Schizosaccharomyces pombe: one gene and its partners. Each later gene encodes a partner of the first gene's protein in a complex. Each region holds a gene or a part of one and is shown in the gene's direction. Other genes may lie near its edges. The genes, in order: mrpl20, img2, mrpl40 and mrpl16.

Region 1 (8,669 bases):
AAATGCTGTATCTTACATACCGTTATTTTTGTAAATAGTGTATCGTTAAAACAATACCTTCTAATAGTGGATAGCGCACTCAACGGTTCTGATGCTAAAAAATGTCACATTTCCTCTATGCAAAAAGGTTGGATGTCTTACCTAAATCTTAGGTGTGTGTTTTTCTTGTGCTAAAATTATGGAAATGTCACTGTTTGTGATGCTGGATTCCGACTGATTCACTCATTTGATGAAAAAAAATGAGGCATTTTTCTTCTACCTCCATCTGCTACTTGGATGTTACTTTGTTGGAAGAAAAAATCAATCGAGGTATTATTGCGCTGTAAAAGAGCTGATTTTAGGGACAGAAATAATCGCTCATTTCGTAGGTTATGGTATATATAAGGAAGGTGTGATAGAGACATTCCTGGACGCTTAACCTTGAGACGATTGTTTGACTGAAAGGCTTTGGTAGAACATTGGGTTGGTTAGTTTAATCGTTTAAATTCAGTTTATTTACTTGTAATTTTTCATATTGGTCGAAAAATTGGTTTTTTTTAGCAAAATATAGAAACAGAATATTTTCTTTGAAATCTGTATAAATTCAATTTGCTCTTCAATTCGTTGAGATTCTGCCCATTGATTGCCGAAATTTCGTTCATTTTATAATTGTGTTTTCTTTCTTTTCTTGTCTCTCATTTTCTTTTTCTTCCTTTTGATATTCATTTCTCCATTGTGTTTCGTAGGGTTAATTTTCATCTGCATATATTCTGTTTTCTTGTTTTTTAAGAACAAAAATTTTTCATCTAAATATATAATTGTCAAAGTTAGTAAGATACTGGTCTTCCCTAATCTTCAAGTTTTCTTTTAACTCTTTCGTCCTTTTTTTCTAAAACTCATTTACTACTCTTCTGGTTTTTTATTTTTCCCTAGAAGTCATGTCTTTCTTCTCCGCTGCAAAGCAAAGTCTGGGTAATTCCCTCATTAAGTTAGGAACATCTATGGCTCAAAATTCCCAAGGCCCTGTAGATGACTCTAGCTTGTCTCAATTGGAGAATTTGCTCCCACCTTTGCAAATTTTGACTGCTAGAGCCGCTATGGCTGCTATGAACATGTCGAATGATACATCCATGTCTGGAATGAACATGACCAACAGTACGACACCCATGTCTGGAATGAACATGACCAATAGTACAACATCCATGTCTGGAATGAACATGTCCAACAGCACAACATCCATGTCTGGCATGAATATGACTAATACCACTACAACCGCAAAGGCTTCTTCTTGTAAATTATCCATGTATTGGAACTGGTATACTATCGATGCTTGCTTTATTACCAAACATTGGCATATCACCAGTAAGCATATGTTTGTCGGTAGTATTTTCGGAATTATCTTCATGATGATGGCATTGGAATTGGTCCGTCGCGGACAAAGAGAGTTCGATCGTTGGTGTGTCCGTAGATTTTCTCCCGCTAGCAATTCCTGCTGTCATTCGGGTGCCCCTGTTCATTCTGGTCCAAGCATGGCCCTTCGAATCTTTCTTCATTTTCTTCGGTCCTGCTTTTATCTAGTCCAGTATATTGTCGCGTATATCGCAATGTTACTCGCAATGTATTATAATGGCTATGTAATTTTATTTCTCTTTTGTGGCACCTTCTTTGGCTATTTCCTGTTTGGTGCGGATACCATCTCTACTAAGGCCTCTTCATCTGTTCAAACGAAAACGATCGTTCAAGTCGCCGACGAAAAACACGAACATGATTCCAGTCAATATTCAGACACAACACCTACAACCGAATAGCTTGATTATCTCTAAATTTGGTTTAGTATTCCCAATTTCATGCACCTCACTCATTTTCAGTGCTGAAGCGTCTGATTAATCATAATCGTCTTCGCTTTAATTTCTTTCGCACAGTCACTGATAGTTTGGAAGAGGATTCTTTGATGAATGTTGAAGCCACATATTACATGTCCATGTTGGAAAGACAAAACAAATTCTGGTAATTTGTCTTAAGTTTTTACAAAGTAATAAAAGTTTCAACAAAAATAAATAGATGCCACAAGGTAACGCTTATCTTTGTTAGTTAAACATTCAAATTAGAGTATATAGCAATTTGAACAGATGTAATTCGTTCCTTTTTTTTTTTAACCATGATTGTTTGTTTTCGACTTTGAACCTGGAGGTTAATAAATATTTATTATTATAAAGACTGACATTAACACGATTCAGTACCTTTATGGTATCTTAAGGTGATCACTTTCTATATATTTTTAAATGAGTTTGTAATGACATGGTGCAACAGAACTACATAAGATATTCATCAATCACATTTTTGACGTTCAGAAACCATTTGTCGATATCTCGGAAGATTAATTCCAACAGCAGATCGTATTAACAAGACATCCACAATACCATCCTGCCGCTTTCTCCCAACAATGTTGAGCCACTCATGCTTTTGAATAGATACATCAGGTAAAACTACTGTAACATCACAAGTCACGCTGCTTGATCCATCAATCAACCGTAGAATGCCATTCTTATATGATTGCACGCATCCTAAAAATCGAAGTTTTTGGCCGTCCTTACAATCGTTAATTTGATTAATGAAGATAAGTTTAGCACTATCCATCAGCTGCTAAATATATTGTAAAAAGGAGAACAAGGAAAGATGAGGGAAGGTGGTATAGTTTGTGTTTGGAAACTGGGTAATCGATTGAAATATGAATTTCGTAAATGAGCGACTTAAGATCGCAGCTTTAATTAAGAAAACGTAGTTTGACTTTTTCAAAAGGAAAAATTTGCATTAATCCTTAAAATGTGCAGAAAGACTACACTCTCGTTTGCAATAGTAAAAGCAAAATCTAATAATCGTATAGTACTATCAGTGAGGCATATTAGATTGATAAATAGACCAACATTTCCATTATTATTATTTATGAATTGGTTTACTTGAGCAACTCCACAAAAAACGCAAGCATGGTTCTTTTGATTAGTTTTTATAAATTAAGTCAGATGGAATATAAAAAGAGAAAAATAAATGCTTTGGCCGGGAATCGAACCCGGGTCGAATCGATGGCAACGATTCATTATACCACTAAACCACCAAAGCTTCTTGAAATATCTTGTAAACTTGTATAATATAAGTAGCTATTAACGATAACGATAATTATTTATTATACCATTATAATATTGATTAAAATCAAGCAGAGAATTGGAAACATGTTCTGATGTAGTTGTTTAAGGCCTTATAAGAAATCAATAGTTCTTGTAATAAATTCCGATTTTAGTTATAGGGCCAATGCGGCTAATATTCACTTGATAAATTGAAGCTGACTGTAAACAAAAGGTTACCCCTTACTTAACCATTTGATATTATAATTTACATTGCAAAAAATTTGGGTCAGTTTGAAAAGGTGTGTACATTTCCTAAAAATCTATGGAAAATTGAAAAAAATAAAATAAATTTAATTTAATATTTAAAATATCATGCTTCCAGTATTCAATATAATCGGTATTTAAATTGAACCATGAACAGATTAGAAATGGTTTAAAAAAAAAACAGCAAAACAAAATTGTATTGAATTTATCCTACAATCAAAATGCCGTTAACAATATTTTTTAGCTTGAATCTTCCGATTTCTCTTAATAAACCGTCAAAGTGCCAAAAACCAGTTTTAATATAACGAATTATATAATATACATTTAAGGTGCCATAAACACACTGCATTATACGTATTGAAACTAAGAGTGTGGATACTGTGCATATAGAGACTGCTAAACTCCAGGAAACCCGCATTTGGAGAGTAATTTCGTGTTTTTACTCGGAAAATTGCAAGCCTTAATACGATTCTTGTAAATTCAAAAGTTAGAACTCTTCCAAGTGATTTTTTGCGTGTTTTTTTGCTGTTTATTTTTTTTTTGCATTGAGCTCTTTTGTCACGTCGTTGCTATAGCTTTTAGGCTTTGAGAATCTTCGTTATAACTAATATTATTTGAAGTGTGGGTTTATCCAAAAGGCCCTTTACAGTTTTTTGTGTTATAACCTTTTCTCAAAAAAATTTAAAGCATCATTTCTAAAGCGACACCAAAATTAAAATAGTTGAAAGAGTAAAAACATGTTGTTTACAATCAAACCTTCATTTTTGAAGCCTGTAGGCTTCATTCAGACTCGGAATTTGAACCGGCTATACCCTAAACAACGTATTCCTAAGCGACCTAAAATTCCTATGGGTTCCAAAATAGCAGAGGTAACTGAAACTACATCTGCTTATTACAATCCACCAGCGTCTTCTCCAGATGTTAGGATTACTCCTCCTGTTTTTCGCTATGATGCACCTCCAATTCATCAGCGTGATACCTCACTTTCCAAAGAGTCAATGTTTCTCCCGCCGGCAGTTAGCCGAAAATCGAAAAGCAAAGGAAAGTTGAGGTTTTCTACTCATCAACTGAGTAGTGAAGATATCAAATCCATCCAAGACTTGAGGACGAAAGATCCGAATGCTTGGACAACTGGAACACTGTCTAAAAAGTTTAACACAACTCGGTTACTAATTTCACGAGTTTGTGAAGCTCCCAAAGAAAGGATTCAAAAAGTTGAAGAAAATTTTGAGGCTGAAAAACTTGCCTGGGGATCAAAGAAGCGTGAAATTCGCCGACAACGTGCATCTCGTCAAGCATTCCGTACATTGGAACGAGTAGCACAGGTTTAAAATAATTTAATAGTTTTTGGGATTCTAAAACTCTGGTTTTCAATAAAGCTCTGATGCACATGCGGAAGCGTTTTTGACTGCATTATTTAATGTTTCAATCACGTTACAAAATACTCGAGTGATTTGAAAGTTCCTTGGAAAATAATATTAGTTTTGAAGCTTTTCAAAAAAAACAGACATCTTCATTCTTCTTTATTTCTTAATTTACAAAGGCTCTCTGGCATTTTACGAATTATCCTTTACATTTCTATCAACATTTACGCACATTGGTCTGCATATCGCGAATTTTTGTCGCAACCTTTAAAATGTTATTATACAGGCACGAACTTGTTTTACATTTTTACCTCTCCCTTCTCATGTACATATTTCCTTTTTGGAACAAATGAGGAAATTTTTCATTTCAGCTTAGTAGGCTCGGAAATCCTCAATCATAGAGTATGTTGCTTTTGTAACACTCAAGCCAGTTTTTTTTTTTTTTTGGTTTTATCTTTTAACTATTACTGAGAATATACAATGGTGTACATAATTAATTGGGTCAGCGAGCAGTAAAAAAACATCTTTATTTCCTCTTGTACAGAGAGCCCTTTCGTTCAAACCTCAAGTGGTGAAAATAAAGATATTTTTTCGGCTTTTAAGCAGTTGCTATTTAAGATTTCCAATCGACATCAACCGTTTATAAACACTCACGAGATACTTACTTTTGCAAGTTTCCTCACCAGCCATCATCCATCCATCTCCTTAGGACAATTTGCATTCTACGGATTTCATTAATACATCCATCTCTAGCTACTATTTACTTATATTAAAGCTTTGTTTCGCCGTTTTCTACTTTTTTGAAGCTTGTGTGACTATACGTGCTCTTCTTTGTTGGCCCAATTTTCCAACGATCGTCTAAAGAAACATGCGACCTAGTTGAGGAATTTTGCTTTAAGACATTGTTTTTACAGACTCTAACAAGCTTAATTTGTATGGTGGACACAGCTTTGTTGTAATACTGCATACTGCGATTCTCAAATCCTACACTCCTCTCTCCTCTTCTCTCCTTGTTACTTAGTACCTCGAGAAGTTTTGGGGTGACATCAGTCAGACACAAGAATTATATGATGGGTGGGTGGGTTAATACGTATATGAATGATCTCATTTACGTTGCCGTATTGTGCTACTAAAAGTGTTATATATAGAGCAGTGGGAAGTAGAAGTGAGCACTCTTATTAACGATAAAGTTGTGAGTTGAACAAAAGCGACTTACTACTTTGAAATATTGTTTTACTTTACAATTGAACATTTACTAGTGTTCAGGAAAAATCTAATTTTTTTTCGTGCGCTCGATTGAATATTATATCAATCCTTTGTGTTGTACGGAGAAAACCGCTTTTATATAACCTTTCGATTTATTAATTTTTTTTTACTCGGTTAATTCACGAAATCCTAATCGAGCATCATGAATAGGCGTGTTACTCTTGGAGCCTTGGCCGCTGCTGTTGGTGTTGGTTATTATATGACTCGCCATAATCGTCAGGCATCTTCCAGATTGGAACAGAAGAATGCAGAAATCGTCAGAGCCGTGGAAAATGAGGGTCAACGATTTGACAAAGCTGTTGGCGAAACCACTGAAAAGGCAAAATCTTATCTCCAAAGTGGGAAGGAGAGGGTTGTCGATGAACTCGACAAACCTCGTGAAAACGTAAAAAATGTGTTGTCAGAGGCGCAAGCCAAGGGTACTGAACAAGCAGAAGCCCTTAAAAAGGGTACCTCAAAATGGTTTTAAATTGGAAATCCCCAATTCTCGCCATTTAGGGTTATGTGGCAATACTTTGAAAAAATACACACAGGGTTTGTTGTGTATTTGAAAACGTAAAGTGCCTAGCATTGGCTCGTTCTATACCTGCTATCCATTAAGTGTTCTTGTTAATTGTTCCAAACGTATTGCCAAACATTCCGGATCACATCTCGGCAAAGTCGGAGAGATTAAACGTTGTTAACGTTATTCTTTTTTATGTTATTATTAGTTTCTTCTCTCATAAACCAACTGAACCCAAATGATTAGCGATGACAAACAAACGACGATTCCATGGGTTGTCAAAAACACCCTCATAGAAGTTTGCTTTTTTTTGTACAGATAAAAGCGAATTTTTAATTGAAATAATGTTTTTCATGAACGCATAAATGAATGATTGAAATTTTTACATGCATGATTTTCCATTATAGACTGTAAAATGATATTTAAAGTAAGCGATGTGGACTAAGAGTAGTGATAATGCATATGAATACATGCATAGTTTGGATATTATAGGTTTTTCCTAGTTTCCATTATTAAAAAAATAAAAGATTGAAAGGAGTGTTTTGCTTTAATCTGCTCTAGTAGACAGAGTCAAAATTGATATATTTAATAATATTCAAGATGAAGAGATAGAACTCATCAAGTTCGCTTAGATATAACCTTAGCTTACGCGAAAGATGAGAATACTGTAATGCATAGTTTTTTGTTAATTTGAGACAACGAGAGGTATGGAAAATGCCCCTCAGGTGAATTCTCTAAATAAGCTAAAAAGTCAAACGCAAAAAAATGCATTATGCCGGTTTATAGAAGATAAACTTTTTTTTGCTGACAAATATTACGATGGAATTGTCGTTTTGACATTTCTTAGCCGTCGTACCTAATGCTTCTGACTGCTAATCAAGCTCTAAAAAAGCGCAGTTCGTTATACTTCTCTATCCCGTTTTCACCTTCATGACAAGTCCTGCGTATGTATGCATTCTACCATCTTCCATTATTCGCACTTGGGCGTACTCAGCTAAGCTGGTTTTGGCGTATTCATAAACGTGTCTATCCTTCAACAGGAAAATAGGTACCTGAAGAAAATAAGATGGGTCTCAAATTACTTCATCCTCCTAAACGTATGTAACGGTTTAGCTAGACATATAAACAAACTTGAGGATTCTTAGTTGGATGCTCGAGCATCGTATAGGTAGATTAAAACCGCAAAATAACTAACTTTATACAGCTTATGCGATGACCAGTGACCCTGAGTCGTATGCTTCGGTATGTGTCATGAAAAAATGGCCTATTATAGCTACGAATGTGATTGACGAGGTTTCTCGAAACATATCAAAGGCATTGGAGGCGGGAATGTCCGATAAAGCTGCTTATGTTACTCAAGGAAAGGAAATAATCAGCCTTCTTAATCAACTCAAATATGATCTTCAACACAATCGCCCTCTGAAGCCGCTTGTCGGTCAAGGGCCTGATATTGATGACTATAATGAGGAGTTGGAACAAGTTGGTCCATTGACTTGGGGCGATGCTCCCTGGCTTTATGCTGGATGCTATTTTTATCGTATCATGAGTCTTTTCTTTCAAGCCCGTTCTGAGTGGAATCGCCATGACCCCTTCTTTGAACAAAAGGACTTCACATTACGTTCTAGCAAGTCGGCCATTGAAGAATTTGCCAAAAGATATGTACACCTGAACAGTGAACTTGCTTCTATTCAAGAAAACAAGGATGACAAGGCTGCATACATGATTTTTGTAGAAATGGCGGAAATTTCACTTTGGGGCAACGCCATTGATCTGGGACTCTTAGTAAATGCTACCTACGAACAATTACAAAGCCTTCAGGGGCAAAAAGCTGTTGAGGAATCCCAGAAAAACATTTTAGTGAATGATTTCCCCAAAATTTGGTCGAAACTTTCAAAAGTTCGTCATGGTCGCATCGATTTTGTTCTTGATAATGCGGGATTTGAACTTTTCGTTGATCTTTTATTCGCTACTTATCTTTTGAAAACAGAAATAGCGGAAACAATTATTTTACATCCGAAGGATGTACCCTGGTTTGTTTCCGATGTCTTAGTCAACGACATCCCCCATTTATTTAACAGCTTAACTTCTTATTTTTCAGGCGAAGGTGTCCAAAAATTAGCCTCTGATCTTGCGGAGTTTCATGCGGAAGGAAAAATTGTAATTCGACCCAAT
Region 2 (7,462 bases), on another chromosome or scaffold:
ATTTCAATTTAGCTCTACTTGACTTAATTGAGAAAGTTGGAGATGAGAAATTTCGTTGGGTTGGCAATACCAATGAGTTGAATGGTGCTTATGCCGCTGATGGTTATGCTCGTGTTAATGGTCTTTCAGCCATTGTTACAACGTTCGGCGTGGGAGAGCTTTCCGCTATTAATGGAGTGGCAGGTTCTTATGCGGAGCATGTCCCAGTAGTTCATATTGTTGGAATGCCTTCCACAAAGGTGCAAGATACTGGAGCTTTGCTTCATCATACTTTAGGAGATGGAGACTTTCGCACTTTCATGGATATGTTTAAGAAAGTTTCTGCCTACAGTATAATGATCGATAACGGAAACGATGCAGCTGAAAAGATCGATGAAGCCTTGTCGATTTGTTATAAAAAGGCTAGGCCTGTTTACATTGGTATTCCTTCTGATGCTGGCTACTTCAAAGCATCTTCATCAAATCTTGGGAAAAGACTAAAGCTCGAGGAGGATACTAACGATCCAGCAGTTGAGCAAGAAGTCATCAATCATATCTCGGAAATGGTTGTCAATGCAAAGAAACCAGTGATTTTAATTGACGCTTGTGCTGTAAGACATCGTGTCGTTCCAGAAGTACATGAGCTGATTAAATTGACCCATTTCCCTACATATGTAACTCCCATGGGTAAATCTGCAATTGACGAAACTTCGCAATTTTTTGACGGCGTTTATGTTGGTTCAATTTCAGATCCTGAAGTTAAAGACAGAATTGAATCCACTGATCTGTTGCTATCCATCGGTGCTCTCAAATCAGACTTTAACACGGGTTCCTTCTCTTACCACCTCAGCCAAAAGAATGCCGTTGAGTTTCATTCAGACCACATGCGCATTCGATATGCTCTTTATCCAAATGTAGCCATGAAGTATATTCTTCGCAAACTGTTGAAAGTACTTGATGCTTCTATGTGTCATTCCAAGGCTGCTCCTACCATTGGCTACAACATCAAGCCTAAGCATGCGGAAGGATATTCTTCCAACGAGATTACTCATTGCTGGTTTTGGCCTAAATTTAGTGAATTTTTGAAGCCCCGAGATGTTTTGATCACCGAGACTGGAACTGCAAACTTTGGTGTCCTTGATTGCAGGTTTCCAAAGGATGTAACAGCCATTTCCCAGGTATTATGGGGATCTATTGGATACTCCGTTGGTGCAATGTTTGGTGCTGTTTTGGCCGTCCACGATTCTAAAGAGCCCGATCGTCGTACCATTCTTGTAGTAGGTGATGGATCCTTACAACTGACGATTACAGAGATTTCAACCTGCATTCGCCATAACCTCAAACCAATTATTTTCATAATTAACAACGACGGTTACACCATTGAGCGTTTAATTCATGGTTTGCATGCTAGCTATAACGAAATTAACACTAAATGGGGCTACCAACAGATTCCCAAGTTTTTCGGAGCTGCTGAAAACCACTTCCGCACTTACTGTGTTAAAACTCCTACTGACGTTGAAAAGTTGTTTAGCGACAAGGAGTTTGCAAATGCAGATGTCATTCAAGTAGTTGAGCTTGTAATGCCTATGTTGGATGCACCTCGTGTCCTAGTTGAGCAAGCCAAGTTGACGTCTAAGATCAATAAGCAATGAGCAAGCTATTGAGAGTGGAATTGGCAAACAAAGTTTCCTTTGATTTATATGTTTTTTATGATAAGCCCATTCAATTCATATAGTCTTTTAGTATAATGATTAGTTATTAAATTTATGTTTAAAGCAACTTTTTAGTTTAAAATTTTTCAAGTCAAGTTAGGGTGTACGTAAACAAACAATACCTTGGAAGCAATGAATGAAAAGGTAGAGTTAATCCAAACAATGTGGAAACCAGTTTCCTTGCATCTACTTACTAGTTTCGCAGAAAAATTGCTAAACTGCTTAAAAGCCAACTTTAACATTCTTATTTCTTACATAGGAGCTACCGTTCCATTCACATTGTGATATGCTAAGAATTTATTAGTTTTACAAAAATTGGGTGATTCTACTATTTAATACAGTGGTTTTGTAACGTAATGAAATTATAACGCTCGTTTATTACGATTTCCTAGGTAATGTAGCGGGTAAAGGCAATTGACTGATATTATGTATCACTCTATCACAGCAACGGACGAACGGTTTGCGTTGTTGTTTATAAATGGTTCTGCAACGCAGCTTCTGACTTTGACACTCTACACCACACCATACTTCAGCGCTCTATTCTTTCGCATAGGAAGGTAAGCTGCATTTCGTGGCGTTTGGTACCTTGAAAAAATATATTTTGGTTAATATTCGTTGGCTTTTTCTTTTAATTCTTGCTACTAATTCCAAGAATTGTGTAAGTATAGGAAGAGGCTGTGTTGATCGGTTAGTTTCGTAATTTCGGCATACTAGTGATTCCTAAAATACCGACTACTAATAATTATAAAGCTTAGATCACTTCTTTGGCTAAAGTAATTAAACCAGGAAGTCTTAAAATTCCGCTTTTTAGCATCCTAAAAATTTCCCCGTCATTTCTCAAAAGTGTTAAACGCGTGAATGTTCTCAAAGCTCTGTTTTCTTTTCTTTGCTTTTTGAACGGCTTTGTCTTTGCATTAATTTTTGTGACGCGTTTTGTGCCTCCAATAGGTAATTAATCTAAATCCGTTTAAAAAGTTGTAGGTGACTTTTTATTTTATTACGTTTTGCTTTCATAAAAAAATCCATTTCCTTCTGTGCGTTGCATATTCATTAATATATCACTTTGATATACATTAAGGTGAATTAGAAATTATTGAGCTCCTCTCCCTTTGTTATTATTTCACGCTTTTTCTCAGGCCCACTTATAGTCCTCTGAGGAATTTTTTATCTTTTTTTTTAAAATACCAACTCAGTTTTTGTCGAGTGATTCTTCTTTTTTATTCATTCATTCGGTTAACTAAGTTCCCTATATTATTTTGTTTTCTACTACAAGCATTACGTTTTGTTTTTCAGTGAGCTTGTTTCGCATCTCTGACCAAAAGGAAGCAAATTGACGGCTAGTGTATTTTTGACTCGTCACATTCTTTTGTCTATCTTTGCCAATTTTTCAAATTATTATATATCTTCGAGATTAACCTCCATTCTTTAGGCTTATTCTCGTAATTTCCTTCTCAATTGAGTTCAATTTTATTAATATTGATTTCATCTGATATATTTTTTCCTTGGACTTTTTCTAGATTATATTTGTTTGCGCGCAATTTACTTATTAAATATGCCTGAAGGAGCCGGTAGACCGTGGAATCTCACAGAACTTGAAGAAGAGAAGTTGAAGACTATGTGGAGTTATTTGTTTAAGCTCTTCGGCATTACTTTACTCGAAAGAACTGAATCTTGGTACACAGTGAAGACACACTTATCTGATGATTCAAGTAGTTCCTCATCACATCGTTTAAGCAGCGTCTCATATGCGAAATCCCGTACACGACTTGAACTAACGTCTTCATCTCATGGCTCGGACACTCGCAGTTTTAATGATAAAACCAAAAATGTGCATTTGGAAAGAGTTGAAAAAATTGCAAGTGAATGGGACCCGGAAGGGCTTAGAGTTTGCTTTTGGGATGCTGTTAATTGTGATGATCCTGATGGCCTTCTACTTCGTTTCCTTCGTGCTCGAAAATGGAACGTTGAGGCTGCGTTGGAAATGTTCATGAAAACCGTTCACTGGAGAAGTAGAGAGATGAATGTTGGTGAAATTGTATGTAACGCTGACCACCTTGATAAAGATGATGATTTTGTGCGTCAACTAAGAATCGGAAAGTGTTTTATATTCGGTGAAGATAAACACAATCGTCCAGTTTGTTATATTCGCGCACGTCTTCATAAAGTTGGTGATGTCTCACCCGAATCGGTTGAGCGACTCACAGTTTGGGTCATGGAAACTGCTCGTTTAATTCTCAAACCTCCTATTGAAACTGCTACTGTTGTTTTTGATATGACTGATTTCAGTATGTCCAATATGGACTATGGGCCATTGAAATTCATGATCAAGTGTTTTGAAGCACACTATCCCGAATGTCTGGGTGAATGTATTGTACACAAAGCGCCTTGGCTTTTCCAAGGCGTTTGGTCCATCATCAAATCTTGGCTTGATCCAGTGGTTGTCTCAAAGGTTAAATTCACTCGTAATTATCGTGATTTGCAACAATATATAAATCCTGACAATATTTTAAAAGAATTCGGTGGGCCTAATCCATGGAGATATACATATCCAGAACCCTGTCAAAACGAAGCAGAAGCTCTGAAGAATGTTGAAGCTCGTAAGAGTCTTAGAGCAAAAAAGGATGCAATTGCTAAACAGTACGAGGAAGTTACAATGGATTGGATTTTGAACAATGGTGACATGGCAGAAGTGAAACAAAAACGTCGTAAGTTAGCTTCACAACTTATTGATGCATACTGGAACTTGGATAAATACATCCGCGCACGCTCAGTTTACGACCGCATGGGCCTAATTGCTCCTCAAACTTCCCATACTTTGCTTCTTTCTCAACCTACAAATGGAGATGTCAAAGAATCAATGGTAGAAGTTACTAGCTCGGCAACTTAGTCGGTCGTAACTTTCAATATTCCTGCTATTTTACATTGTAATCCTTCCCCTTGCCTATACTCCCGTATACTGACTAATTGTACTTTCCCGTGTTATTCTAAATAAGATGCTGGCTCAAAATATGATTGTATCATCTATTAATGCATAACTTTCAAGATCTTTTATATCAATTAGTTACATATGAAATCTCTTTCCTACGTTGATTTTTACACCCCTTTTCGTTTTACCATTTCCTTATCGCTTTAATTTTTTAGCACTCTCTTTAATGCACTTAAAATCATCTAGAAAGGGATAACTTTTTTTAGGTCTTATGGCTTTTCATTGAAGTTGTTGGTCGCAATACTTATCCATCCATTTTGTCTTTATTAGAATCAATGATCAGTTTTATTTGCAAATTAACTTAGATTTCTTGCTATTTATTATTATTTTTTATTTTATTGTAGGAAAGCGGTTCGAAATTAAAAAAAACAACAAGCTGAACACCTAAATGCCTACTCCAAAATATAGTATTAATTTAATGAGTATGCACCTTCGCTGAAGTATATTCCGTGCCGTAAAAATACTTTCGAGTTTAAACACGCGTGAGGTTCAAGCACCGATTAAATTTATTTAAAACAAGAGCGTTTTATTTTATTTTAATTGTTCTTAGTGAATCACTTAATCTTAGGCTCCTGTTTGACAGTTGTTTAAAACTTACAAATTTTTGGAGGTTATGATAGAAATCCTCTTTATTCGCGAATGCACGACGACTTCTTTTACACATCCACCATAAATTCCTGCAACTCGTAGAAAGTTTTGTTGAACCAAATGCGATCATCCTTAAAGCCAGTGCTATCAAATTTGAGGTTCAACTCAACAATTGCATCCGAATCACTTCGGTTTCATGTTTCACGTACACCTTCAAAAAATCTCCCAGTCTATCTAGACTACAAACAACGAGGAACGAAAATTCTGACTTTAATTCGTAAAATCCATGGTGATTCTAATGTAAGTATACATATTCCGTCAGCAGTAATCTCTTGGCTAAAGAAAGTACAAGTAAAGTCACTATGCTGCGGAAATTGTTCTATCAACTTTTTGCTTTAACGGCCAACCCAAGTTTATTTTAACTTCTTTTATTCGTTCTCTTTTTTTTTTCTAACAATATTTTATCAATAGGCTTTGCGGCTCAGGCTCATTTCCACACTTAAAATGTCACCGAAAGATGTTTATGTAAACAAGTTAACAAATCAAGTTGTCCTAAAGGGAAATCACATAGTCACAGTTCGTGAATGGTTACAAGACCAAGGTTTTTAAGTTCCTAGAATTTTTCCTTTTTTAGATTGTTACTATGTATGTACGTATCCTTCTTTCAAAGGAATGATAAAGTTGCTTTTTATCAACATAAAACTCTCGAGCATATATATCAATTTGGCTTTTTAGCATATTACTTTTACTTCATCTCCTTGTTACAGCGGTGATAATGTCAAATAAAACACAGCTGTTGCAAATAATTAATCTCGATTCATTTCTTCTCATCATACGTGGTTTTCAAACTTGACAATGGAAAAAATGCATCTTTTGTGATGGTTTTCCTTAACTACCTTTAAATAAATAGTTATTCGAGCTTCAGTAGAAACATTCAAGAGGTACTTGCGTAAAAAGAAATTCAAACATCTGCTTAATGTGAGGCGTCCAAATGCTAAATACAATCTTTTTTTTGCTACCTATTCGTTTGTTTTGTTGAATTTATAAACGCTTAAAGGAAATTATAATATATATATCGAAACTCCGGTGTTTTTATTTTTTGACTGTAGTTATAGACAGAATACGTTTAAGGCTATTAGGGTATATAACTAAATTAAAAATTCTTTTCTCAATATTGTATAGTTTGTAAATTGACAAATATTAAATGCTATATCGAAAACATACCTTCAAACATAATCTATATATCTGCGTCATACGCCCATGGACTGTTCTTTACCTTTCCCTTCACACATACTTATAATCCTGAAATCTCAACGACTTTTTCATTATTTTTGAATTGAACTTGGATTTGTCTGTGATAGGAATATTTTGACAAACATTTTTAGCTTTTAAAATTTTTGCTTTGTTCTGAAGACGTTGATTTACAATTTGCTTATGAATTAATTATTCACGAGAAGAAAATTCCTTGTAGTTTATCCCTTTTTTATTGGTGATTATAAGCTGAATAACTCTTAATGTTGGGAATTATATTTTCTTTAGTGAACTGAGGCTTTCTCGAAAAATACTTACGGTTATCCATGATTTAATGATTTTCTGTTTTTTTTGTTATTTTTTTTTCGTTTATCAAAAAGTGGTTAAGCATTGACACGATATAAGGCACTTTATTTCCGTGTTGAATTTTTTGTTTTGTTTTTTCTTGACATTAATACCTTACTTTCCTTGAATGCGAACAAACCGCATTCATTTGTATTCGATTATCGAAAGCCTTTTATTCCTTTTCTTTTTCTTTTTTATTAATGCCAGCTTGTTATTGTGCGACATCAACGTCTCTTGAAAATAATGAATTGCTATACAAAAATATTCGAAACTTGTTCTCTACTAGCAGGAGTTTTCCAATCGAACAAGAATGGATGAATTTGAAATCGATAAGTCAGATGAAAGACTTTTTTTCAAACTTTCCTGGTAATAGTAAGGCGAACAACCACTTTCTCTGTAATTCTCCATTGAAATTCGAAATTTTTAACAATGAGAAATCTGTTAAACCTTCAAATGGGCCTCATCTGTTCACGAGATGTTCATGTCGTTGTAATAAATTATTGTCTGGTGATTATATAACTCAACAACAACCAATTGATGCTTCTGCTGAACATTCTCTTAACGCCAAAGGTATAAATACCTATTCATTGAAGAACTGCTT
Region 3 (7,437 bases), on another chromosome or scaffold:
TTTTTTAGATAACTGGAAATTGCCTAATTACACAATCTTTTTTACCTTTTTTTGATGATTGTATGTTTAAAGGGGATGTAGTTCAACTAAAAAATTGCTTATTAAACATGCAAGAGTAAATGATTATTGAATATGTATAGTTGCAACAAGAAGCAAGGTTGCGAGAAATGACAAATGGGTTGACTCAACTTTTTTCTCATTTAAATTTTTGTTTCAGTCATTTTAATAAGGTCCTTGTGAATCGATATCAAAAGAGGAGGTGGAATAATTATAAAGATAACGTTTCTGAATATCATGGTTTTCGAAAAAGAAAGTCTTTGAGGTCATGAAGTTTAGGCTGCTTTCGGTTTTTTTACTCCATACTTGCTTCGGGATGTGACACGTCCCGCTACACCAGCAATGTCATAGACACCCCGAACAACATGATATTGGACTCCTGGACAATCCTGTGCTCTGCCGCCTCTTAACAATACCACAGCATGCTCCTGTGCATTATGACCGATACCTGGAATGTAAGCAGTAACAGAACGGCCGGTTGAAAGGCGTACACGGGCAACCTTTCTTACTGCCGAATTAGGTTTTTTGGGTTTTACTGTAAAGACCCTCGTGCACACACCCCGTCGAAACGGACTTCCCTCTAAAGCAACAGATTGCTTATTTGTTTTTTCAGGACGTTTCTCTTTATTTCTTATCGTTTGATTTAATGTCTTTAACATAACTGAAGAGCTAGAAAACGCTTGAGCCTGAAATGGTGAAATAACTGTTGGCTTCATCAACCTTGAAATTACCGGATATCGAGCATATTGAGCAAAACGGATCATTATTTGGGGAAATTTAATATTTGAGCTGTATAAAATCTCAAAAATCACTATAATAGATGCTTGAGCAAGGAATTCCGAAGTTTGTACCCGAACGTCGCTGGTTTGGTGTTAGTGTATGTATATTGCCTTGGAATAGAATATCTCGCAGCATTCATATTATTCGATGGGATACAAAAATTTATTCTTTTATATTTTGACAAACATTTTTGGGTATAACTAGCGTATTAAATATTTTTTCCTCTAGGAATTGAACTTTAATGGACTAGTCTAAAACAGATGCAGAATGTAGGTATGCTAATCGACAAATTTACAGTACAGTGTTAAGCTGAAAAAATCAACTTAATTCATGACTTCTACTGAAAAACGTACTGGAAGTAGATTGTATTGAGGTTTAAGCTTCGTTTTGCCATGCCATTTTCAGTTGATGATAGTATTTATTACAATAACTTATCCATTCATTAAAACTTTAAACACTGATATGGATTTATCAATGTGTTTGACTACTTACATGAAACTTAGCAGAAAAATTGAGCATCAGGCCTACTCCATATAAAGCTTTGACTTAAAACTTAATATTTTCTACTTGTTAAATGTCTTCGTTTGGTTACATATCTCCATAAATGCATATGCTTTGTTTGGCTTAGCTACTGAAAATTCAGAAACAATTAAATGAACTCCGAATTATAATCTATATTTTTTTTATCAGTGTGTGAAATTGAAGGGGATTTGATGAAACACTTCTTTTTTTGAAATATCGTACTGGTGGCTTTTCCTAGTGTATCACGACTTACTCTCTTAATTAGCTTCATACCACTGAACACGTTTACTACTACCGCATTTTTCTCTACTCAGGTTTTTTAGCTTTTAAAGGAAGGTTTTATGTTAATACTTTTGAAAATTAAATTTTTTTCTATCAACGTGAAAAAATTCAAGGAGTACTTTAGTTTGTGTTGAAAAGTTTTTTGGCAGATGCGTTCTACGTTACAATTAATGGCTAAGGCCTCAAAGGGAAAGCACCAATCTGGTCCTTCTAATCATAGTGAGTCAATCGATTTGGTTAGAAAAGCTCTTTACGGAAATAAAAAAGTCAGGTCTTTGAAAATGAATCCAGACATGTGGGAAAAACACGAAGTTATTAATCGCGCTTGGCGTATACACGAATATCGACAAGAAAAACAAAGAGAGAATCTTCTAAAAAACCAATTCTCTGCAATGAAAATTGCTTGCGAGGAACTGAAGCATACGAGTGAAACATTATATAAAGCCGCAATGAGCGATTCAATTAACAGGAGGTTCCCCGTAGAAACGAGGACTCCTACGGACACACCACCACGGCTTTCTAAATAGGCGAGCGCCTTTTATGAGTATAATTAATATCTTCGGTAGTGCTCGAAAGTGTTATAGACAAGTTCAAGTATATAAAAAAATGTATCACTAATTACGAGCAAGTATAATCTAATTAGGATTTTTAAATAAACCAATAATTGAATTAAAGAATTATGTCTCCTAGTTTCTAGTCTACATGTATCATATTATTCATTCCCAATTTCACCGTAAACGAATGATACAAAATGAAAGGCCATGCTTTCTTTTTTAACCAAAAATTTAGAATTGTTACCAAACCCAAACCCTACCTCGAAAACAATAAAATATGACCCAAACACTGTTTTCTTTTTACAACGTGTCGCAGATGAGACAAAATGTCTTTAAAGCCAGAATTTACGTCTATCTGATTCTTCACCGGCATTGCTCTCGAAGAAAACCTCCCCTTCTTTCCTATCCCATACTCCTTTTTGAACCATACGAAGACGCATGGTAAATCGAGGACCTAATTCTTGTAGCCCAGTTCCAATACCATCTGGCATATTCGATTTTTCACGAAATGCATAACGGTGTCTTCGAAAAAAAAGAAAATCTCTTTGACAATGGATGGTAACAACTTGTCGCCCTTGAATTTGAGGCGTTTGAATAAATAATGATTGAAAGGCTCGAGCAACAGTCATACCAAGTCTCGTTGAGAAATTGTTGATTATCAGTTCTGGAATATGACCAGTGGAGCGGCCATGATTTGAAATTTCCTTTGCTGTTTGGAGATTCGATAAGGTAAAATAGAACGAAGGGCCATTCGGTAAGTGTACAAGGGTTAATGCATTTGTTTTTTTACGATCCTCATTTAATACCAGTAAATCGGTGTAACCACGCTTAGCAGCGGCTTCTGCGATTTCATGAACTTCAATATCTCCGGTTCTTTTTCGAAATTCAGCATTAGGAAAACAATCTAAAAGCTCAGATGCAAAATCATAGCATTTTCTAGAGGCTCGTTTACTCGTGGTTACCAAAAGTTTCGGAACTTTCCTTTCTTCACTAAAGTATGCAGAAAACTCATCATCTTTTAACTCCGCCTGAAGTTCCTCATCGGGTTTATCCTCTATGATAGTTTCATCATAAACTCGTTTCGATTCAATAGTAGCGGGAATATTTTCTGAAAGTCGCAATCTCTTCTTTTCCGGGTCTTTTTCTTCTTCTTTAGCACGTTCTTTTCTTCTTTCAAGCTTGTCCTTATTTTTTTGATGAAGAGCCTTCATATACTGCTGTTGGCGGACAATTTTGTTTTTAATCTTCCCCATTTTAATAAGTTGCGTATAATCTCTCAAAATTTAAAATTTAAGAATGAAATAATTTAAATCCTTACAAAAAATTGCAACTAAAAAAAATTGAGATAAGAATGAGCAACTTAAGTACAAATAAAAGAGAGTTAAAAAAAAGTATACGATGGGTTTGAAGTCTCAAAAACTTATTGCACAATCCAATTCCATGTCGCAAAATACCGAATCTGAAGAACATGCTACGAATTTCGTCAAATTTGCTTAAAAGTATTAACGCAGTATTATATCACACTGCTGTTAAGCAAAATGTATACTTTAGTTACAATTACTGTTTGTAAATAGGTGATATTACAATCCGAAATCGTACACTATAGATATCCTCATCATTAAATTGTTGAACAACTGAAAGCATTGTGGTAAGGGTTCAACATTCTACAAATCACTCACGCTACTTTCATTTTCACATTTGAATGCGTGCTTTGAATGGAACTAGCAGAAATGAAAGGGACGATAGTCTTTTAATTTCATTTCTTTACTTTCTTTTTACTTTCTTCTGAACTGAATTGCTATATTGATAAATTAAATAATGTTCTGGATAACCAGAACGAATCAGAACGTGTCTTTTAATAGCAAAATTTTTCAAAACCAAAAGCCAATGAACAATGTAAGCAAAAAGGAGGAGGAAAACAGATTAGGGAATTCATATAGAGCGTATTTTCAGAAAGGTTATTTGTATACCTTTTTAAGTCCTAGCCTCGCTCATGTCGAGTACTTGAACCATACCTCGGTTTTTGGTCTCATTTCGGACAAGTTCATCTATCAACTTATAATTCCCTGGAATCACGAGAGCTATGCACTCATATTCATCATCAATGTTTTCTTCTTCAATTTCATCAGCTAAAGAGCGTAAACGCTCTCGTAAAGCTTTTCCCTGTTTGACATCCACCACTATTCTGATGCGCATACGCGCACGGACGATAGGAATTTCGTTTTTTTCTTGCAATTTCTTAATAGCTTCCAGAGCTTGGGACTTTGCAGTTTTACTGGTAGAGACAGAAAAGCCACAATCAGATAATGCTTTTTCAATTATAGATGCTGGATAAGGTCGTTTAGAATTAGGATCCATGCACATCGCAGTAACATGGGAGACAATATCGCGATAAGTTGAAGACATTTGATGATGTCTTTCCTTTTCACCTACTTGAAAATCTCCTTTTTGCAAAATTTCTAAAATAATTTTATCTATATCATCTGTACCAAAAGCCTTTTTCAAATCCTGTCGGCTAGCTACATGTCCTTTAGAAACATTGTTAAACACATTGTGGATTTGTAAAACTTCATCCAGATCTGTTTCACTAAACTTGGTTAGCTATGGTTTTGATCAAAAAAAATTGTACGAGTTATTGAGTTGTTGACACCAGTCGACAAGACACGTGAATTCAAAAAGATAGCTTGTTATAATTTTCTGCTGATCTTAAAGAATATTTATCTGTAGCAAAGGCTGACTCTCACTAATTACAGTAGCTTAATTTAATGAAATCATGCATACATTTTGTTTCTCCATTCTGTAACTTTATTTTTATAACAAGCAACTTCAAATCTTTTCCCTCCTTTCTTATATTTTACAACGGACACATTGGTTAGACGAATTTGTCCAACAGGTTGACTAATAACCATTTTGCTCAAGATGGGTACTTTTTTGGATTATTTTTTGTTATTCTCACCTTCTCTAATTATAGTGTTTTAATCCAACGCCTAAATCTGTTAAACAGGTTAACAATCCATACACTATATATCGGTATTTAGATTTATCTGAAAATTAAACAAAAATTTGATATTTGCGAGCCTGAAAGGCAAAAGGATGGTTCCAATCATTTTTCGGATGTTAACATAATCTTGGAAAACCTTATGGTTAAATATTTAATATAAGTGCAAGTTATTTGTCGGGTTTTCTAAACCAGTTTACAAATCACGAATGATATTAGGCTTTTAAAAATTATTACCTAAATTCAGCAAATACTAAAAAAAAAGTAGAAAACAATAGAAGTATCGACTAAGTTTGAGTTATCCGACAAAACTTCAATCTTACATCCTAGTATATTAACACAACCACTTGCGAAGCGTTTCTATACGATTTCGCTTAACATTTTCAATTTTAAACTTATAAACAAATAGATAGAATGACATTGTCTTAACGAGTACACATCATTTTAATGTTGGTTAACGATGTCGAAGCTGTAGAATATTGCGTGCAAAAGCAAAAGCAAATTTTAAATAATGAAACTTAACCACGTATCGCAAAGTTGCCTTTGTGTAACAATGATCCATTTCTTTACTTATTGACGAAGAGAGTACTCAAATAACAACTGCAAACTACCAGCAGGATACACATTACTGTTTCATAGCATTCTTATTTTTTCTCTTATATTTGGCCATATTTATCCTGTCTAGAGGTTTTACTTTCGTTCCAACATTACAGCGTAGTAAATTCCTCTGTACAAGTGATGTACCACCGTTAGTTATTTAAATATTATAAAACTTTTTGAGCAGAATGAGAGACTTGCGTAAATTAATTCCAAGGCTCCGAGGCCCTGGTACTAACGTCTTAAAAATGAAAAAGCCTTTACCGTTGCATATGCGAACCAAAATACGCGAACACCTCAATAAATCTGATCCAACTGTTAAAGACGATAAATCCGCTAAACCCGAGTTACCGTTTGGAAAGCCAGCTGACAGAGTCCCTTTCTGGCATATTTTTAAAGGGGATTATGTATATGTTCATCAAGGACCTCTGAAAGGAAAATGGGGCCGTGTTGTTGAGACAAACAAATACACAAACGGTATTACCATAGAGGGGGTTAATGTGAGATCCGTCAAAGTACCAATTTTTCTTTTGCGAAATAAGCCTGAAGATAACCAAGATCCAGTAATTGATATTGCTCACGAAGTACATTATGCAAATGTGCGTCTTCTTGCGCATGCAAAGACTGACGCCGGGGAACCAGTTCTTATTCCAGTTAAGCTTAAAAAGCATTCCTCAACTAATCTCCGGTCCATTATTCGGCCTAATATTGAAGGAGTACAAATTCATACTATTCATCTTCCTCGTCCCAAGACTGAAGATAAGCCTAAAGATCCCGAAGGTAAACTCGATACTAAGAATCCAGTAGTTAGTAAAGTTACTTGGTCTCCTAGCTTATCGGAGCCTCCTCTTCCTCCGTTTGCAATTGGCGATTTACGAGCCAATTGGTCTCGCCGTTTAGATCGTATATGGGGATATAAAAAGAACAATGATGATTTTACTGAAATTGCTAAAGATCTTGTCCGAGCAGAGACTGCTGCTGAAGATTTAATAAAAAAACCCATCTCTCCTAATACTTACAGTGATTAAAACAAAAACGATGTTTGGTCGTTGCAAGCATTTTTTTATAACATTACATAATGATTCACAATCTCTAGGTTATAAAGCTTAATAAACTTTTGTAAACTCTTCTAAAAAATTTTTCAAGAAACTTAAATATATTTAACTTAGTAGAGTAAGTGATAAGTGATTTCAATGAAAGTGAAGTATTTGAAGTTTACACGTTAACCTAGAAAAACTTTTACTAATCAATGTAGAAAATCTATACAAATCAAGATCTTTAAAGTCCATTAATCTCTTGTGCGAAAATTAACGCTTTGCCAGTTCATCCAATCTGGCTTGTAAATTGTCTTCAGTCTTTAACTCCGGTACCGTACCAATTTGGGTCGCAGCATCTGGCAATCCTTGAGACAAATCGACTCCAATTTCATCCAACACTTTATTGACAAGTTCATCAGCTTCCTCTTCGTCATCTTCTTCTAAAGCATCGTCCATATTTTCATCAATCATTTCTTGTCTCTGTTCCATAATTTCATTTTCACGCTCGAATTGCTGAGTGATACGAGCCATTGCCGGTATATTCATGCTTTTGTTCATCCCTGTCAATAACTTTGTAAAAGTTAGTTCTATATTTTTCGATATTAAGGTG
Region 4 (8,028 bases), on another chromosome or scaffold:
TTCGTCTTTGAATTAAACAATGGAACAAAGGAACTGGGCATGAGTATCTTTTATACCAATTTCTCAACTCACGGAGCGCTCTAGAGTATGCTACGATAAAGAAAATTTGACAACCAATCACTACCAAGTAAACAATGATCGACAAATATGGACACTTTTTGACTCCTTAATTGGCTAACCTAATGGCTGGTTTTATTGTTTACTGCTTGGATTTGCGTACTGTTTTGTTTACATTTAGGTAGCGGTTACCAGGTAGATTGGACGAGAGGTAGCAATCGACCGTTTATTGTGGCTTACCGCGTCGTTATACCGTAAACAACGCGCTGGATTCATTGTAAATAGCAACGAAGCGCTGTAAAAAGCCGACAAAACATTAGCATTTGTACACGCTCTCTACCTTCACGCCTTTGCTGCCAGGGTGCGTTTGAGACAGTTAGTTGCTAAGTAAAAAAATGCCAATTCGGCTGGATTGAACTCTAAATATTATTTATTTATTTATTTAATTCATATTGTTTCGGTAATGAATTTGGTAATGTTTACATGATTCTTCTCAACTCAATGTCGGAAACCAACATGTGACTTACCAATTTAACGATATCAACCCTTTTTATTTACTTCATCAGCAGGTCCTTAAAATGTATACTATTTCGATCTAATTTACCTCGTCACACTGCTGTGGCCGTTCAATTAGTGGGGCACAAGACATATCAAAAAAATAAATAAATAAATGAGAAAGAAAGGATTCGAAAAGAAAATTAAAAAAAAAAAAAGACTTTCTTTTTCATTGTCATCTGCTCTGCCACTAAGGAGTCCAAGCAGTTTTCTTCAGGATCCTACATAGAAAACCATACTTTTTGAATTCTGATTAAAACAACCCAATTTTCACTTCATCCTCTGCTATACCATGCTGCCGCTCAAAGGTTTGTCGCGCTAAGTCTGTTAACATTTACAAAGTCCAATTAACCGAGGTAGCATTTACCGAGTCGTTATTTACAAACGGGGATGAATAAGTAGTAATTAGACTGGCGTCATGTAGTATGAACATTCGCAAGTGAACTAGGACGAAAGATAAGGTATGCGACCGATACCTATCTACTTGAGGTTCTGTAAGTTAACTGCGCTCAAATTTCTTGATACACCGTTAATGAATATCTGATATCTTGATATTTTTATTTTACAATGGCTTGTGAAGATATGCTATTTTAACAACTGCAATGGTTTCGTTCTCTAGACCCGGATCTAATAACCGATTATCTGGCAATGTGCACCATCGGCATTTGGTAATATAGGTTGGCAATTAAGAATGGAGTGATAATGAGTTTGAGGCGTTTGAATGCTATTTTTTGAAGAAAATATGATTTCGGAAAATGGAATTAAATATGCATATCATTTAATATAATTTTATTAGCAAGTTGAATTTCCAAGGCGATAACTAACTGTCCGTTTGTAAGTGTAGAATGTTCGTTCATCTACTGTCTTCCATATATGTTCATGTTCTGTAGACTAGTATATATCCACGAAATAAAGAAAATTTATCAGTTAGTAAGTTACAGTAAAATTCATGATACCGTCAATTGTAAAAAAATATGTGAATTGCTACACAAATTGCTTTTTTTTAGATTGACTTGAATGCAATCCTAGCAAAAATTATTAGTTTTTACTGAAGAATATAAAAATTAAAAAAAAAAAAAAAAAAAAAGAGAATAAAAATAAATTTAAATACATCATTTATAGAGTTTGACCTTTTTTTTTAATATTTTATAGTAACCCCATCAATAATCAATTGTTACTACTTTTTCCATAATTTAGTCCCTTCGTCCCCTGAGCGGAATTATTTTTTTTTTAATTCCTTGTTCCATTTTTCCTTCATCGCACTATTATTGAGCAATTTTACGCAATTTCACAAATATACTAAATACAAAACTAACAATACTCTTACTGGTAATCCAGTTTATGTCGACCAAAAACTTTTATTTGGAAACCATGAAATAGCACCAGGAATAATTCATTTTTTTATACCACTGCAAAAAATTGGCCCAGATGAATTAGGAAAGCCAAACCTGGTACGACCATATGTTGATTTTTGAAGATGAAACTCACTATACTGTTTACCGCTGTTTGTTTCATCGCTTAACAGATATTAAGCTTAGATATTACGTTACGCTGTTCAGTATAATATTACGAACTCGTGACTGTTAGTGTCGTTTTATTAAGGCAAGAAACCTTTGCTCTGCTATCCTTATATTTTCACTTCAAGACATTAGAAATAATAAAGCTATCGAGTAATGGGAAAAATCAAAAGAAGAGCCATTACAGAACATGAAAAACGCGCTCTTAGGCACTACTTTTTTCAACTTCAAAACCGTTCCGGTCAACAAGATCTTATCGAATGGTTCCGTGAAAAGTTTGGCAAAGATATTTCACAGCCTTCCGTCTCTCAGATCTTATCCTCCAAATACTCGTATCTGGACAATACTGTAGAAAAACCATGGGACGTGAAACGTAACAGACCACCGAAATACCCTCTTTTAGAGGCCGCTTTATTTGAATGGCAAGTTCAACAGGGTGACGATGCTACACTTTCCGGTGAAACAATTAAGAGAGCCGCCGCTATTCTTTGGCACAAAATTCCCGAGTATCAAGATCAACCGGTTCCGAACTTTAGCAATGGATGGTTGGAAGGTTTCAGGAAGCGCCATATACTTCATGCAATTAATGAACAACCCACCGAGTCTGTGGTTTTGAATAATACGGAACCACCTAATGATCCTCTCTCTCGTGTTTACGATGTCACGCGATTAACGAATATTAATGATATCTTCACAATGCAAGAGACCGGTCTTTTTTGGAAATTGGTTCCAAATGGCACTCCCGAAGTCGAAGATATAAAAGGTATTACTCGATTCAAAGCTCGTATTACACTAACCGTGTGTTGTAATGCTTCGGGAACCGAACGTTTGCCTTTATGGGTTATTGGATACTCACAATCTCCCAGAGTGTTTCGGGCTGCTAATGTAAAACCCGAAGTAATGAATTTCAAATGGAGAAGTAATGGTAAGGCATCCATGACCACAGCTATAATGGAGGAATGGCTACGTTGGTTTGATGCGTGTATGGAAGGTCGCAAAGTCATACTTCTTATTGATAGCTATACTCCACATTTGCGTGCTGTTGAAAACATTCGAAACTCTGGTAATGACCTCAGAAATACAACTGTAATTACTTTACCATCTACTTCAGCCTCTATTTCCCAGCCTTGTAGTGAGGGTGTGATCTATGCTCTAAAAGCATGCTATCGCAAACACTGGGTTCAATATATATTGGAACAAAATGAGTTGGGACGCAATCCCTATAATACTACTAATGTTTTAAGAGCTATTTTATGGTTGGTGAAAGCATGGACGACAGACATATCACCAGAAATTATTGAAAATGCCTTCAATCTTTCCGGTGTTCTTGGTCTATTCAATGAATCTGCCGTTACCTCGCGTGCCTTGGATGAAATGATTCATCCACTTCGTGAGCTCGTCTCAGAGTTTTCTGTTCAAGCTGCTATGCGTATAGAGGATTTTATAAGTCCTTCAGAAGAGAATATTGTTGATTCCTCTGAGGATATAATCAATCAAATTGCTTCGCAGTACATGGATGATCGCGCTTTCGAGACGGACGAAGAAGAATCTACTGAATTCCAGATTACCACTAAAGACGCTATGAAGGCGATCGAGCTTTTGCTAAACTATGAAGCTCAACAACCCGATGGAAATCCTGCAATCACGATTAGTCTATTAAATTATCAGAAGCTCCTTGAGGCAAGGGGTGGTAACGTGAATCTTTCTCGTTTGAGAAGCACCTAATGTCTGTATTCGTTGTGCATATTTGACTTTTTTGTTTTTGGTTTGTATTTTAGTAGTTTTAATTTTCTTTTTGTTGAGTTTGGATCCCTTACCTAATGAGTAATTTGCTTTTATTCCTTCATTTTAACTTGTTGCTCTATTTTTAATACCCGATTGCAACTGATGAGCTTATTTGATTTTTCTTTGTTTTTATTTTAATTTTTTTAAAAAAACCTTTTCGAAGTTTCTTAAACGCAAAATCGCTATACGAGCTAATGAAATTGAATATTATACATTTTGTAATTCATGTCTCGCAATCAAGTGCTTTTAATATTGATACTATTTATCTTTAAAAATAAAAACCGGCTAAATGTAAGAAATTTTTTTTTTTTATTGAGGCATATTTGTTTTTTTAAGGTCGAGATTAGATTGTAAATAGTTGAACCGTAGGGGTTAGAGCTTCAAAAAATGATAAATTATTACTGTGAAACCCGAATTTAATCCATTTACGCATGATTGATTTTATAAAAATGTACTTCTCTTTTGCTAACTGCTTCGTACTGTAAATAAGCTTACTTTACAGTTAAGCATTACAAAGGTATATGATGTAATGATATAAGAAATAATCAATAACGAACTTTGATGTTATACGTAACATGAAATAACGATTTCTCTTCGAGACCTAGACTAACATGGCGATGTTCATAACTATGGCGAGTAAGCACATTTCTATTTCTACAAATAACTCAAATCCTTTGCTTGAACAATCAAGCGTGTTATAGCTTATTGGAATTTTTTAAGACTTTTTACAGCAAGAATCAGTAAAATCAGAGAAATTCGAATTGGCAAGTCTTCAAGGTTGTGTCCATTCGGAATATTTATTAAAGTATGTCAACAACTAGTTCTTCGTCGACGTTTTCTACGAGAACAGCGTCTTTATCCCAATCATATACAAATTCATTAAAGAAGGAAGCTGCTCAAAAGACGTTAGAAAACTGGGAATATCAGGCTATTCACGCTTTGCAGAACAATTCTTCTTTTCCCGCGATACGTAGATCAATGCGCAAGATTTTAGCAGATCCTTCATAATTTCCTAATCCCATTTTTTGTTTTTTTTATAATCATGATGTGAGCAAGTTCTTGCTACAGGGGACAAAAGAGTTGCGCTTGGCATTCTTACGTTCGATTGTCCATACAATAATGTTTAGCTCGATAGAGGATCCTTCTAATGGTTTATAAACGTACATCAGAAGATTTTTTTAAGACAGTCTTAACATTCCAAATACCAATACTGAGGCACTAAACAGTTGAACGTTTTGTTATTCTTCAAGGACAAGAATTCCTTGACAAGAAATGAGCTAAGTATATTATTTGAAATAGCTAAAATAGTCACTGTTTTATTTCTATTCACGCATTGTTGTCATTGAAATGATGATGCTGAATCAAATAATGTGTTGAGCATAAAACGCACGTTAAATTCAGTATCTATGAAAATAATCTTTTTTGCCTAATGCTTAAGATAATTTTTTTTTTTTTTTTTACAAACTAATAAACAAACAAATAAATAATTATAGCTAATGTTCAGTTATTGTCCGGCTTCTTCCCGGAACTTAGTTAGGATAAGTGGCAGCAACACATACAGAATCCAAGTATCCTTTAACCCCCTTCTCATACAAAAAATAGCAGGCCTATTATCGTTACTATTGTTACCATTTTCCCATAAAAAAAGAAATATAATACTTAAATTTGATTATTTTGAATATTTCTGAGTAACTTTAAAGAACGACTTTTGCATGATAATAAAAACACGTTGTTTTATGACTTTTTGAAACCCTCACAACATAAAAACTTATATAATATGGCTTTACAACAATACAATAAATTTCCTTTCTTTTTTTCTGGTATTTTAGGACCTACGAGGTTGAATGGTTTACAAATGCCGCCTATCCAAACGATGGTTCGTTGGGGACACCAGTATGCACCCAGAAGCATCAGAAACCAAAAAGCTCAGAAAGGAAGAGTCCCTATACCCATAGGAGGTTCACTACGTGGTACTCAACTTGAATGGGGAGAATATGGTATGCGATTAAAAGATCGAAGTATAAGATTTCATGCCAAGCAACTCGAAACTGCCGAACAGATTCTCAAGCGTATATTAAAACCTATCAAGGCTGCTCGGGTATACACACGTTTTTGTTGCAATGTGCCAGTATGCGTAAAAGGAAATGAAACTCGTATGGGCAAAGGCAAAGGAGCTTTTGAATACTGGGCTGCACGGATACCAATCGGTCGTGTACTTTTTGAAATTGGTGGTGATGGAATGCGTAAAGAGTTAGCTGAGCATGCATTGAAGCAAGCCGCTTTTCACCTTCCAGGCAAGTATGAGATTATCGTCAAGCAAACCCCCAAAAGATTGGGTACCACACTGATTCATGAAACCCCCATTACCACCGAGACAAGCAAAATGAACTATCAGGAAATTACCAGTACTACTACAGCTGTTTAAGGGAAAAGTTAAGCTGAATTTATCTATTTTTAACCCATTCAATAATTACTTTTCTGTCATACTTCTCACTTACTTAGTTTGTGAACTTAATGCTGCATCTTTGTACAGACATTCATGAGCTTCTTTTCAATCGTTGTAGTTATTCTATGTTTTAGTGAATGAAATTTGCCAGAAATGCCTTAAAACATTGTACATTTTGCGCTATGTTTCATTATCTATTTTCGAAATGGGAACTTTCATCCCCAATGAGAGAGTTGCTTAATTTTTGTTGGCGAAATATGAACCACTTTTGATTCACTTTGATTACGGCTCGGCAATTTCGTTAAAACATCAAATTTCTTTGGTCCTGAAAAGTTGGTAACGGTAATGAGTGTTTTTGGCGAAAATCTTATTTGCTGCTCTCTGCTCCGTTGGGGACTTTTTTTCGGGATGTAAAAAACGGCACGTTGTATATGTGCGAAATCATGAAGTGAATCAAAAAGTACACTTTAAATAATATGAAACTGATTTTACTATGGAATTACGAATGAAATTATTCAAATCAACTCCACTAAAATATTTACAACGTTTACAAAAAAAATCACTATACCTTCTAGAACCTAGCTTAGCAATCCACTGTTGAGTGGATCAGTAACTTAATCATTACTACCATAGATCTGATTAAATCTCATCAAGATCGATCGGGATCTGTAAATCAATTTTCTACCATAAATTACCGCGGTTGCCTACGAGTTGGTAGTGACTGTTTCTTTCAGTAAATAAATAGGGTAGGGTCGAATTTTTTGAAATTCATACATACGTGCATCCTTGCTCTTAGTTGTCTCCTCTACAGTGATAAAAGATTTAGCTTAAAAAATTCAAAGCTAACAGGTTTCGGGACAATAAGTTGTTGAATTGTATAATTTATATATTTATACTTAATTCATTTTAGAAAATTCGCTTTTCCTTTTCCTTTTTTTGCATTTTAAAGTCATCAACATGTCTGTGTCCGAAGCTAATGGTACTGAGACCATCAAGCCTCCTATGAATGGAAACCCTTATGGTCCCAACCCATCTGATTTTCTTTCACGTGTCAATAACTTTTCCATTATTGAGTCTACTCTTCGTGAAGGTGAGCAATTCGCAAACGCTTTTTTCGACACCGAGAAGAAAATTCAAATTGCTAAGGCATTGGACAACTTTGGTGTCGATTACATTGAATTGACTTCTCCCGTGGCTTCTGAGCAGTCCCGCCAAGATTGCGAAGCTATTTGCAAATTGGGCTTAAAGTGTAAAATTTTAACTCATATTCGCTGTCATATGGATGACGCTCGTGTCGCTGTTGAGACTGGAGTTGATGGTGTTGATGTTGTTATCGGAACTTCTCAATATCTTCGCAAATATTCCCATGGAAAGGACATGACTTACATTATTGACAGCGCTACCGAAGTTATCAACTTTGTCAAGAGCAAGGGTATTGAAGTCCGCTTTTCATCTGAGGATTCTTTCCGTTCTGATCTTGTCGATCTCCTTTCTCTCTACAAGGCTGTAGACAAGATTGGCGTCAACCGTGTTGGTATTGCTGACACCGTTGGTTGCGCTACTCCTCGCCAAGTCTACGATCTTATTCGTACCTTACGTGGTGTTGTCTCTTGTGATATTGAATGTCATTTTCACAATGACACTGGTATGGCTATTGCTAATGCCTAT

The links.
Region 2: mrpl20 (region 1) and img2 share a complex: the UniProt entries of both Schizosaccharomyces pombe proteins name them as parts of the mitochondrial large ribosomal subunit.
Region 3: mrpl20 (region 1) and mrpl40 share a complex: the UniProt entries of both Schizosaccharomyces pombe proteins name them as parts of the mitochondrial large ribosomal subunit.
Region 4: mrpl20 (region 1) and mrpl16 share a complex: the UniProt entries of both Schizosaccharomyces pombe proteins name them as parts of the mitochondrial large ribosomal subunit.

What each region holds. Positions count from the first base shown.
Region 1 is NC_003421.2:817,542-826,210, forward strand, and holds mrpl20 (mitochondrial 54S ribosomal protein mL58), read left to right. Parts: upstream 1-3,753; 5' UTR 3,754-4,102; coding exon 4,103-4,696; 3' UTR 4,697-5,936; downstream 5,937-8,669. Other genes in the region: Cu(2+) transporter complex subunit Ctr4, read left to right, coding at 918-1,787; telomere cap complex subunit Ten1, read right to left, coding at 2,308-2,616; SPOM_SPCC1393.12 (uncharacterized protein), read left to right, coding at 6,138-6,464; duf89 (cobalt/nickel-dependent phosphatase), read left to right, coding at 7,564-7,594, 7,702-8,669. UniProt on the Schizosaccharomyces pombe protein: Component of the mitochondrial ribosome (mitoribosome), a dedicated translation machinery responsible for the synthesis of mitochondrial genome-encoded proteins, including at least some of the essential transmembrane subunits of the mitochondrial respiratory chain.
Region 2 is NC_003424.3:585,682-593,143, forward strand, and holds img2 (mitochondrial 54S ribosomal protein mL49), read left to right. Parts: upstream 1-5,385; coding exon 5,386-5,565; exon of another isoform or gene 5,566-5,736; coding exon 5,737-5,874; 3' UTR 5,875-6,471; downstream 6,472-7,462. Other genes in the region: pdc202 (pyruvate decarboxylase), read left to right, coding at 1-1,631; csr102 (sec14 cytosolic factor family phosphatidylinositol transporter), read left to right, coding at 3,244-4,578; SPOM_SPAC3H8.04 (chromosome segregation protein), read left to right, coding at 7,062-7,462. UniProt on the Schizosaccharomyces pombe protein: Component of the mitochondrial ribosome (mitoribosome), a dedicated translation machinery responsible for the synthesis of mitochondrial genome-encoded proteins, including at least some of the essential transmembrane subunits of the mitochondrial respiratory chain.
Region 3 is NC_003424.3:2,668,002-2,675,438, forward strand, and holds mrpl40 (mitochondrial 54S ribosomal protein uL24m), read left to right. Parts: upstream 1-5,791; 5' UTR 5,792-5,978; coding exon 5,979-6,818; 3' UTR 6,819-6,937; downstream 6,938-7,437. Other genes in the region: mrps12 (mitochondrial 37S ribosomal protein uS12m), read right to left, coding at 333-821; mrpl28 (mitochondrial 54S ribosomal protein mL40), read left to right, coding at 1,812-2,168; Brix domain-containing protein Rpf1, read right to left, coding at 2,528-3,448; SBDS family ribosome maturation protein Sdo1, read right to left, coding at 4,170-4,782, 4,977-5,104; ESCRT III complex subunit Did4, read right to left, coding at 7,098-7,397. UniProt on the Schizosaccharomyces pombe protein: Component of the mitochondrial ribosome (mitoribosome), a dedicated translation machinery responsible for the synthesis of mitochondrial genome-encoded proteins, including at least some of the essential transmembrane subunits of the mitochondrial respiratory chain.
Region 4 is NC_003423.3:3,506,597-3,514,624, reverse strand, and holds mrpl16 (mitochondrial 54S ribosomal protein uL16m), read left to right. Parts: upstream 1-5,491; 5' UTR 5,492-5,691; coding exon 5,692-6,339; 3' UTR 6,340-7,102; downstream 7,103-8,028. Other genes in the region: ARS-binding protein Cbp1, read left to right, coding at 2,286-3,854; protein tam12, read left to right, coding at 4,722-4,922; lys4 (homocitrate synthase), read left to right, coding at 7,318-8,028. UniProt on the Schizosaccharomyces pombe protein: Component of the mitochondrial ribosome (mitoribosome), a dedicated translation machinery responsible for the synthesis of mitochondrial genome-encoded proteins, including at least some of the essential transmembrane subunits of the mitochondrial respiratory chain.